Bombyx mori: one gene and its partner. The protein of the gene in region 1 interacts with the protein of each later gene in a pairwise test. Links are inferred from orthologs where the notes say so. Each region holds a gene or a part of one and is shown on either strand. Other genes may lie near its edges.

Evidence for each region. The genes of interacting proteins can lie anywhere in the genome.
Region 2: the proteins of SWI/SNF-related matrix-associated actin-dependent regulator of chromatin subfamily B member 1-A (region 1) and failed axon connections interact in a two-hybrid assay, tested with the Drosophila melanogaster proteins (2 studies listed by BioGRID). The link is inferred for Bombyx mori from reciprocal best matches to the Drosophila melanogaster genes Snr1 and fax.

The regions. Positions count from the first base shown.
Region 1 is NC_085122.1:12,050,470-12,055,651, forward strand, and holds the start of SWI/SNF-related matrix-associated actin-dependent regulator of chromatin subfamily B member 1-A, read right to left. Parts: upstream 3,535-5,182; 5' UTR 3,360-3,534; coding exon 3,279-3,359; intron 2,211-3,278; coding exon 2,020-2,210; intron 1,565-2,019; coding exon 1,402-1,564; intron 1,111-1,401; coding exon 963-1,110; intron 246-962; coding exon 34-245; intron 1-33. Other genes in the region: putative tricarboxylate transport protein, mitochondrial, read left to right, coding at 4,885-5,083.
Region 2 is NC_085107.1:8,812,795-8,817,905, forward strand, and holds the start of failed axon connections, read right to left. Parts: upstream 3,452-5,111; 5' UTR 3,211-3,451; coding exon 2,905-3,210; intron 1-2,904. UniProt on the Drosophila melanogaster protein: Together with Abl, involved in embryonic axonal development.

The sequences.
Region 1 (5,182 bases):
ATTATTTGAGTTTTCTTTGTAACTTGAACCTACCTGATCTACCAACGAAGTGTTTCCAACGTGTATATTGAGTTTGACGAGGACCCTCTGGTCGGTATGCTCCTCCAGTATGGGGGGAGGCTCGCTCGGGAAGGCATCGATCTGTTGCCGGATCGAGGAGGCCACAGCAGGTATGAAGGTGCTCGTGTTCAACTCTAAATCATCGCACAGCACCTCGGCAAACTGTTCTGGTGTTATTATTGATTCTGGAAAACAATCCTCCAATTTTTTATTTATTCAAAAACTTGTTAATAGGCTGCCTGCAATCCTTGTGAGAAAAAGCCTCAGACACAGCCCACTGAGTTTCTCGCCGGATCTTCTCAGTGGGTCGCGTTTCCGATCTGGTGGTAGATTCTGCGAAGCACACGGCTCTTGCTAGCGTTCGTGTTAACAACGTCATCACGTTTGAGCCCCGTGAGCTCACCTACTAGTTAAGGCAACGCTGATATAGCCTCTCAAGGCTATCAGCTTAGGCAGGAAAAAAAAGTGGGAACATACACATTATGGATATAAAAATTAAGGAGCGTATTCCTAAATTTATGTAAGGGTTGTGCTAAAAGAACAATATAGAATGAAAACGATAAAACATTAAAAATATTTTAACCAAATTTGCAGGGCGCATTGGAACTGTTCTGTGATCCAAGACAGTTGGACAAGGTCCTCCTGATCTTCAACACTTACTGCAGACCAACAATTTTCATTAAGCATGATTAAAGAACTTTATAAAGAATAGTTATAGTTAAAGATATAAGAAAATGTTATTATATATTTTCAATTGACAGTCGATACAATTCACAGTAAATACAGCCAATCTATTTATAATTTGGTAGACAGCAATTACACATTCTATTATTCAAATACTTTCTGAAATCAAAAATTGAGAATAAACAACCAGAATTGGTAACAAATGCAGTTAAACATACCATTTTTATTCCATGTAAATGTATCCCTGAGTTTTTGACCCTCAATCTCCATGTCCAATCGAATCGGTACAAGCACCTGCTTTTGCGAAGCATTCTCCAGCATTGCAGTCATGTCTGTGTCATCGAAACACAGTGGGAATGTTCTCACCTGAAAAGTATTCATTTTATGCTAGTTTTAATAATGATACTTTAGAACTATAGTATATTACATTAATTCCAATGTTCCATTTCAAAATCTGTTATTTATCTTACGATGTGTCTCTGATTTTGAGATATTCTATCTATCTTATCTATCTATCCTGAATCAGAAGCTAAATTAAATGTGTTGTGTTGACCTTAGAGTGTGGCCCCATGTCAAACATGATTAACTAGATAAACCTAGGAGTCAGAACCTGAAGCCCAACTGGACTTTAAGTTTTGACTTTAACATCCATTTTACCTTCTTATTATGCACCCTACTCCTGCTGATTGGAGTAGCCTGGGGTACAGCATCCAAATGAGAAGAGTTTGGCATGACTGGCAGCCATGATGGAGTGTGTGGCTTCTTGCTTTTGCTCTCACGGGGTGTCGCCAACTCTTGGCTGACGGACACTGCTTTGTATCTATAAATTAATTTAAAGCTGTGTCATAGCTGTAAATAGTTTAATGGACAACTGCTGTTTCATATACAATTCATAGTATTTAAGATTTCCTTGATATGCACACAGCAACTGACCAGAACCGATGGAGACTGGCACAGCTGAAACAGAGTCACAATCCTCAGCAATGAGGGAGCGATGAAGAAGAAAGATATGCACACATTTTGTTTTTTTTTTTATTGTCCTTAAAATAAGACAAACATACAATTCTTCTGATGGTAAGTGGTTAATGTCGTTCGTGGACTTCAATAGTGCCAGGTGCTCACCAAAACTTAAAGGTCTAATATTTCGACTGACTACTTCAGGTAGCTTCACTTATCATCAGATGGATTATGAACTCGTTCACCTGTCTATGCTAACACAGCAATTGTCGGTTTTAACCGCTTTCAATAGTTCACAAAATGTTTATAATGACGTACTTATCATCATTCCCTTCAATAATGTCTTCAACTTCTGACGCCTTCAACAGTGAAACTGAACTGGACAGCACATGAGGACCAAGACCGTTGTCAATTAATCGCTTACGTTCTTCATTGGTGAGGGTACGCCGGCACATGCCAGGGTACTTCTTGTAGAGTGACCCACGGAACAAGCGCAGGTAATTCCCGACCTAAGGCAATAGTTAATTTTTTTGCATTTTTAAGCGGGCATAAGACTAATCAAAATACAAAATCTGGAAATCTCAAGTTAAAACTGCTGTTTTCGACACCACAATATAATTTTGCATTGCTTTTAATTAAAACCACTGTTATTGTTTAATCATTTAAATTTTTTGTCATAACAATTTACAGTAGTTAGAACAGTGTTAATATGCCATGAAAAATGATAATGAAATGAATATAATAAATATGAAATTAGACCTTTTTTTATACAATTCAGAAACACTGAAGAAAATACATCATTGCTCATCTAAAAAAATAAGAGCAGAAACAGCATTGGGTGCCACAACTTGTTTTAATTTGCACTGCAAGCAATCACTGTCGTTTACTTATTCAATATAATTCATAATGGCGCTTTAGAAAGTTCTACTGTAGAATAGAAGATTATAGTGAGAAACTTCACATGAACACTGAATTATGCAACTAGATACAGAAAAAAGATAAAAAGTACAGTATGGTATCTTAAGCCAGTAGTTAAAATGGACTGGTAAACTTTCATGATTTGTATCTCTTTAACTAAAATCTTAGGTTTCTTAGCTAATGATGTTATTGTACATGTATATGTATTTGGGATTTTGTTAAATATGGATCTGTTTACTGGATTACTTACTCGATTATTGCTAAGAAAATGAGTTTTAAAGAATTGTCATTAAAGGGCAACATAATTATTACAGCTCAGTTTTGCCTTCTACAGAAATTCCTTAGTTATTTTATCTCCAAAATTTGTATTCCATTTTCATAAGGGTGATATAGACCTATTGTTCTATTTTTTATCTTATACTTTGATGGACAATAAACTATAGTCTGCTTTACAGTAATGGAAACCAAGCCTCATCGAAATAAGAATAATTCTAAAAGGCAAGTTTGTATAATAGACCAGATTGAGGTTAGGAACGATGTTCTTCGACAAAAGAAAGACTAGCTCCGTTAGTGAATGAAATAATTTTTAATAACGTATCTTTAAAATTATGTTTCGAGTAGTTCGATGTATTTTTAATCAAGAAATGTATGGAACTTACCTCTGAGCCAACACAATAAAAGTCTCCTCCTTCTTCGATTTGAAAACTTATCGGCTTATCGCCGTACGTACGTAAGGCCATTTTTGTAGTTGTGTTGTTCCTTTGATAAAATAATTACATTTACTTCAAGAATTGTAATGTTAATTTGGTAAGGGTAAAATTTATAAATCGTTTCTGTGAATATGTATATATGTATCCAATTATTTTTTTAATTTTATGACCTGGTAACGTACACCTTTAAGTCATATATTATTTTGGAAAGCTACTGGACGTAACTTCTTGGGATTCACCCAAAAGTCCACTGAAAAAATCTCAGTGAATGACCATCATTTTACTGAGATTATATTTCATCCCGTCTCATCTTATTTCCTTTAATTTCATCCCAGTTGATCCCTTTAATATATGTCTCAAATATTAATTTAAATTAATTTGAGACATTCTTGACATCTTCATTTCATTTCATTTCATTTCACTCCATATTATCAGTTTTCATAAAAATAAGAATATAAATTATAATAAGATATAAATTAGAATAAGAAGATTAAAATAAGATAATGACTTAAAGGTCTAGGCTACCAAGTCATAAAATAAAAAAACATTTTATTTGATTTTTTTTAAGAGATTTTATGACCTGGTATCTAAGACCTTTAAGTCATGTCTTATTTTACTTTATATTCTTAATTTTATGAAAAATGATAATATGGAGTGAAATGAAATGAAGATGATTAATTTGAGACATTAATCAACTGGGATGAAATTTAATGAAATGAGATGATATGGGATGAAATACAATCGTAGTAAAATGGTGGTCATTTACTGAGATTTTTTCAATGGACTTTTTGGAGGGACCCGAGAAGTTACGTCCAGCAGCTTTGTTTCATTTTCCCACATTTGTGCACTTTCACAGATATTAAACAGTTAATAAACCACCGTTATTACACATTTAAACCTGAAGAAACACTAAATAGACAAAATAAAACAAATCACACAACTTCACTCCTCGCGTTCCCGCCAAAAAGTCCTATTTTAATTGATTTTTTTTTTTTTAAGAGATTTTATGACCTGGTAACTAAGACCTTTAAGTCATGTCTTATTTTACTTTATAGTCTTAATTTTATGAAAAATGATAATATGGAGTGAAATGAAATGAAGATGATTAATTTGAGACATTAATCAACTGGGATGAATTTAATGAAATGAGATGATATGGGATGAAATATAATCGCAGTAAAATGGTGGTCATTTACTGAGATTTTTTCAGTGGACTTTTTGGAGGAACCCGAGAAGTTACGTCCAGCAGCTTTGTTTCATTTTCCCACATTTGTGCACTTTCACAGATATTAAACAGTTAATAAACCACCGTTATTACACATTTAAACCTGAAGAAACACTAAATAGACAAAATAAAACAAATCACACAACTTCACTCCTCGCGTTCCCGCCAAAAAGTAATTTAGTTCATAGACTATACACAAACACATATTGTTAGCATAGAGTATGATTGTATATAACTAATATAACCTAAATTTTTAGTCTGAAATTAAATGTCGTAGGGGAGTGTCGTCGCAGTCGTTGCGAATTTCAAAAGTGCTCGAAAAAAGAGACCATGTCTTCACGGCAAGGAACATTCAAAAACCCATTCTCCAGACCGTGGATGTCGGAGACAGGTGCAGCGGCTGCGGCTGGTGGTTCGGGTTCAGTAGGCTTAAAGGGAGTTGTAGCCGGCGGAATTACAGGAGGCATTGAAATTTGTATTACATTCCCAACAGAATATGTAAAAACACAACTGCAATTGGATGAAAAAGGTAAATAAAGCACGCCACAATTATCCGAACTAAGTTAGTTAACTAATTGGTGTTTTTCAATTCATAAATTCATTCAAATTTTATTTTTGTCTTATGATT
Region 2 (5,111 bases), on another chromosome or scaffold:
TCTACCAGACTATGAAGGGTGACTGTCAATCACCTGTGAAGGTAAATCAAAGCACCTATTTATTACTAACTTCTGTGTGTTATTAATAAATAGGTGCTTTAATTTACAAATGCAAGAACAATATAAAGGTATTCTGAATCAATCAATACAATATTTCAATATTTATACATAAAATATAAATACATACGTACATAATTTTTTCATTTTTGAGGAACACTCAATATTGAGGTACAAAGCTAGATTCATACAATCATTGCACTACACCCACATAATTTGTGTAAAAACTCTAATTTTAGGGAATATTCCTTTACAGTACTTTTTTTTTATTGCCGTATATGCAGACGAGCATGCGGCCCACCTGATGGTGAGTGGTTACCGTCGCTCATGGACGTCAGCAATGCCAGGGGCACAGCCAAGCCGCTACCTACCGTTTAATACTTTCCACAAGCCTCGTTTGAAGAAGGACATCGTCTGACAATGATAATATTCTCCAAGATAATAATAGTTAGTAATCAACAATACCTACCTCGAGAAAATCAGTCATTCCCGAAATCGTTTTTATTCATAATGAGAACATTCGTTTTTTCAACAATTATTTTTTATATTTTTTGGGGTGTTATCTCCAGACAATGATTTTCAACAAAATATTGGTAATAATTGAGATACCGAGTTATTTATCGCACAAGCTGTGTCCTTAATTAGATTAATTGTCTATGATTAACGAGCTGTATACTGTTAAAATCAATAGTGGTCATTACATGTATTGGGAGTTACTGTCATAAAGTGGGTACAATATTTCATGACGTCAACGAAACATTCAACAGAGATAGCGCTATACTGCGCACGCAGCGCACTGAGAACTTCTCGAAAATTTTCCTCGTACTAACAAAATCATCTTTAAAATAGAGGTTGCTTAGTTATTCCACCACTATTTTTTCTTAATTCATAAAGTTGCTTTTTTGATGATCTTTGGTGTTTCGTTGAAAGTAATAAATAATTAAGAATGGGAAATATCCGTATTCCGGCGATCAATCTCATCAGGATCATGTTTTTGTAATGTATTTTTTTTGTGAATTGTATTTCGTGTGGCCATTTACGAGAACAAGGCTTCGGTTTTGTTAACTCAAAATTTAGTCAAACTAGATTAAGACCAGAAGACAGGATTGTGAATTCTTCTTAATTGATGTTAAAATTTTGAAAAATAAGGTAGGTATACTGCAATTAGGGTTAGATCATTACAGCATGTCGGTACTTTATAACATGTAAAAATTGTTGATAATATCAGAAATCTGCCAAAGAAAAAAAAATTATTACATGTAAAGCTAGTGAAATAGCGTACAGAGAAGCTTATTTCCATCCAATACGCATAGAAATGATATCTGAAAGAAAACGCACCGTATTTGTAGTAGCTGGTACCAGGTAAAACTGGTAGACTCTAGTGATATACAGATAAAGCAGTGATATCATCTCCAATAGCTCTAGAAGTATTATCTCCAATAATTCTTCGAAAATCCAAGCGTGGAAGAGGCGGTGGGATTCAGAAAAAAAAATTACTCCTTAACGGAAAATATACTATGCCATTTATTTCATCTTTTTTGTTTCGCTTTTTTTTTCTAATAAATGTCTTTATTTATGAACGTCCTACCAATATACACAAAACAAAGCGTTATTGTTCTTCTATTCTATTCTGTTATTGTGTTTCTACATTTAAAATAAGAAAACGTACGTACCTAATTCAAAAAATGTTTAAACGTTATTTTTGTGTCGGTTTAGATATTGTAATATGTGTAGTTCAATCGTATATTTTAATATATTTATTTTTTCTTCTAAAAATCGGTATGTGTAAATGGACAGACGGTCGCGGGCCACATTTTGTGCCTCCCGAAGCTAGCATGTAAATTTCACCACACCGTGATGATCAGATTCCAAAGTACGATTTTTGAGAGTATCAACTTTCCAACCATCAAAAATGAACTCAAAATAAAAGAATGTTTGAACGTTTTTTAATCACGTTTGTGGAACGTCTACAAAATATACGGTTTTTTTTTCTTCAAAATATTACTAGGCTTTTTTGTTTTTAATCAGAAAGGCCTCAATGGAGGTTGTATTTATAGATATATTGATTACTTCTATTTATAAATATAGAACGCCCACACGTGAATTCAGGTGAACCCGCGAATGGGAGCTCAATTTATACTGGTTTTACTTGTTTAAAAAAGGTTGTAAAATGGTTTTACTATGTACTGCCTGCCGTTATCGCAGCGATGAAAAATCTATACTAGTTTAGATTAAGTATAATCAATTTTATAAGGCATGAACGTTCATCGAAATCGGTAACTTTTGCAAATTCCTTTATGCAAGAAGAACAATAGACTATAGTCTCAAGTAAGTACTAGTACCCGTTATCACGTTTCCGGACTAATAAAACTAAATTTAATATATTTATATAATTTAATGTATAGTGCATTAATATTACTTTAGAGAAAGCTTTTGTAGGCATCTCAAAAATGACACGGTGAAAGGGACACTATCTTCATGGTATGGCGACGCGGAGTCTCTTTAATGTTTCGACCCCAGATAAGTTATGTGCGTACGGTTTAAAAATAAATTGATAAATTAGGAATGCAATCTTTGTGTCACTTCATGCAAGGGAAAACAAGAAAAACCAGTCTGCGGCTATAAAATAAACTTCGAAAGTAAATAAATATACATTCGCTAAGCAAACTTCGCCAAATTTAGCCAAGTTAAAATATAAATTAAAAAACAAAGTAAACTTTCGGAGGGGTGGGTCATCTCAAAAGGGCCAATCTACAGCGCAGCTTAAAATATTGGTTTGGGGAAAGCAGGAAATGATCTACGAAAGGAAAATAATAATTATTAATAAGTAACAAAAATGCAACTTACCTCGTACTTAATGCCGGCCAAACGAAGCCATGTTTCAACTTTTAAGCAATATGGGGATGTCGACGGTAACAAAGGAGTGCGCGAAAATTGATAGAGATATACTACGTCTTTCTCAAAATTTGTTTTATGGACTGTTGGTTTCGGCTGAGCTGGTTCGGATTTTTTCTCTTCAGATTTTTCATCGCCTTTCTCATCAGGTAATGGAGCCTCTTTGGATTGGCCATTATCGGCCGGCGCGTCCTCTTTCATGTCTTTCTCTTTCTCAGGAGCGTTTTCAGGGATGTTATTCGTAACTTCAACAGTCATGTTTGAATTAAATTTGTTTTGTAATTGGAATCAGCACAGTTATTAACACGAATCGCAAGCCTAACGATCACCGCCGTTAGAGCGCGAAGCAACAACCGAACTGCCTGCCGGCTGCTCCTGTCTGGGGTCTGCTCTACAATAATTTGTTTCAAGCAAACTAAATGAAGCCACGCGCAGCGTCGCCGAGTTCGAACGTCGTGTGGTTTCGTGTTCGCCGGGCTTGGGCCACGATTCAGCTACATAGCTGGTTGCTTAGCAACATCCTTGCCAGATATTTAAAGTTATCCGTATATTCACGGTTTTTTTTTAGATGAGAATTCAAAACAATTATGTAATGCTAATGCATAAGTTTTGTCGTAGATTTAAATCTACTAATTAACTAATTTAAATACGAAAATGTTATTTATATTATGCCATATTTTTCCTATAAAATAAAAAATCACGGGGAAAGAAACGTTTGAAACCATAAACTTTATGTTAACGTAAAGTTACAAACCAAATTCAACACTTCCGAGAAAGAATTATTTTCGAAGAGACAAAAATATGTACACCTGAATCCATTTTGTCAAATACTCCCTACCACTGGGATTCGAACTAAGACTAAAGTGATACGTAAAATCAAGCCAGTTTCAGTAATAGTACAATATAAAGGTCTTTGACTCAGATTTTTGTAATCACCTTGCAATTTACAGATTTTTCTAGAATCTTCGCTTGATGAATTAAGAAATATAACTCTACTGATTTTTAATGCAATAAGCGAGCATTTTTAGTACACGATTTCATTAATTCGTCTAAACACCACAGGTTTTAAATCGAAGCGCAGTAAGAGATACCAAAACTTATTAACTGAAAATACCAACCGAAGTATAAAATTAATAAAAGTTAAACTATCAATTATTGTCTATGTTTATGAAAACATATGAATTAGCTGTTTTATAATTTGATGTTTTTTTTAGAACAATCTTCCTATTATTATTAAAGTATTGTGAATAAAGAATTTCACCAAGGTAATAAGTTTAATTTTATGGTATTCAGAATACATCTTATTAAAGCCGTCACCACAATTTGAAACTCCGTATCTTACAACATTGTAAAATATATGTCACGGAACTTTTTGGCGGCAATTTGAAAATACCTATTTTAACATCAATATAATTTGGGTAGTCAAGCATAAAGGTGATTTAGTGGATTTTTAAACATGAATTAATGACAAATTGCCCTACTTTGCAGAAGTGGTACAATTTTGTTTTGTTGGATATTAATTGATACATTTTTGCGTCTCGATAGTTTCCCGCCATTTTATTGAAAATATTACCGAATATCACCTTAAAATTTTTTGGATAAGAAACGACAAACGCCACAATTTCAAAAAGAAAACTTTAGATTACTTCTGAGTTTCTTTACTTCTGAGTTTGACTTTTCCATGGCCTACTTACTTATTATAGAACTACTATAGTACAAAATAGTTTTATGTAAATATAATATGTAGGTTATTTCATGGTTTTGGTATAAATTATATGGTATGTGCCCTTTTTTACAATACTTTGAGTATAATGGGTACATTCTCAACCCACTATTTTCTGCTAAGAGCAGATTAATTTATTTACAGCAGTCATGAACATGATGAAAAGAGGTTGCGTACACTTTTCTTAAAATAGAATTAAATTCTGAAACATGGCAAAATATAATTATCATTTTAATAAACACTAAAACAGCTTGTTTTTTATGTAATATTTTGTTTAAGACGTAATGGAGTATGTCATGCCTATGAACTGAAAGCAGTGGTTTCGTTTTTACTGTTATTCTGAGTAGGTAGTAATTTACTATAGTAGAATTATTTTGTCCGTGCAGTTTGGGTCATAAAACATAGGCCGACTAGGGCGGTGAGAAAGTTGCGCGGG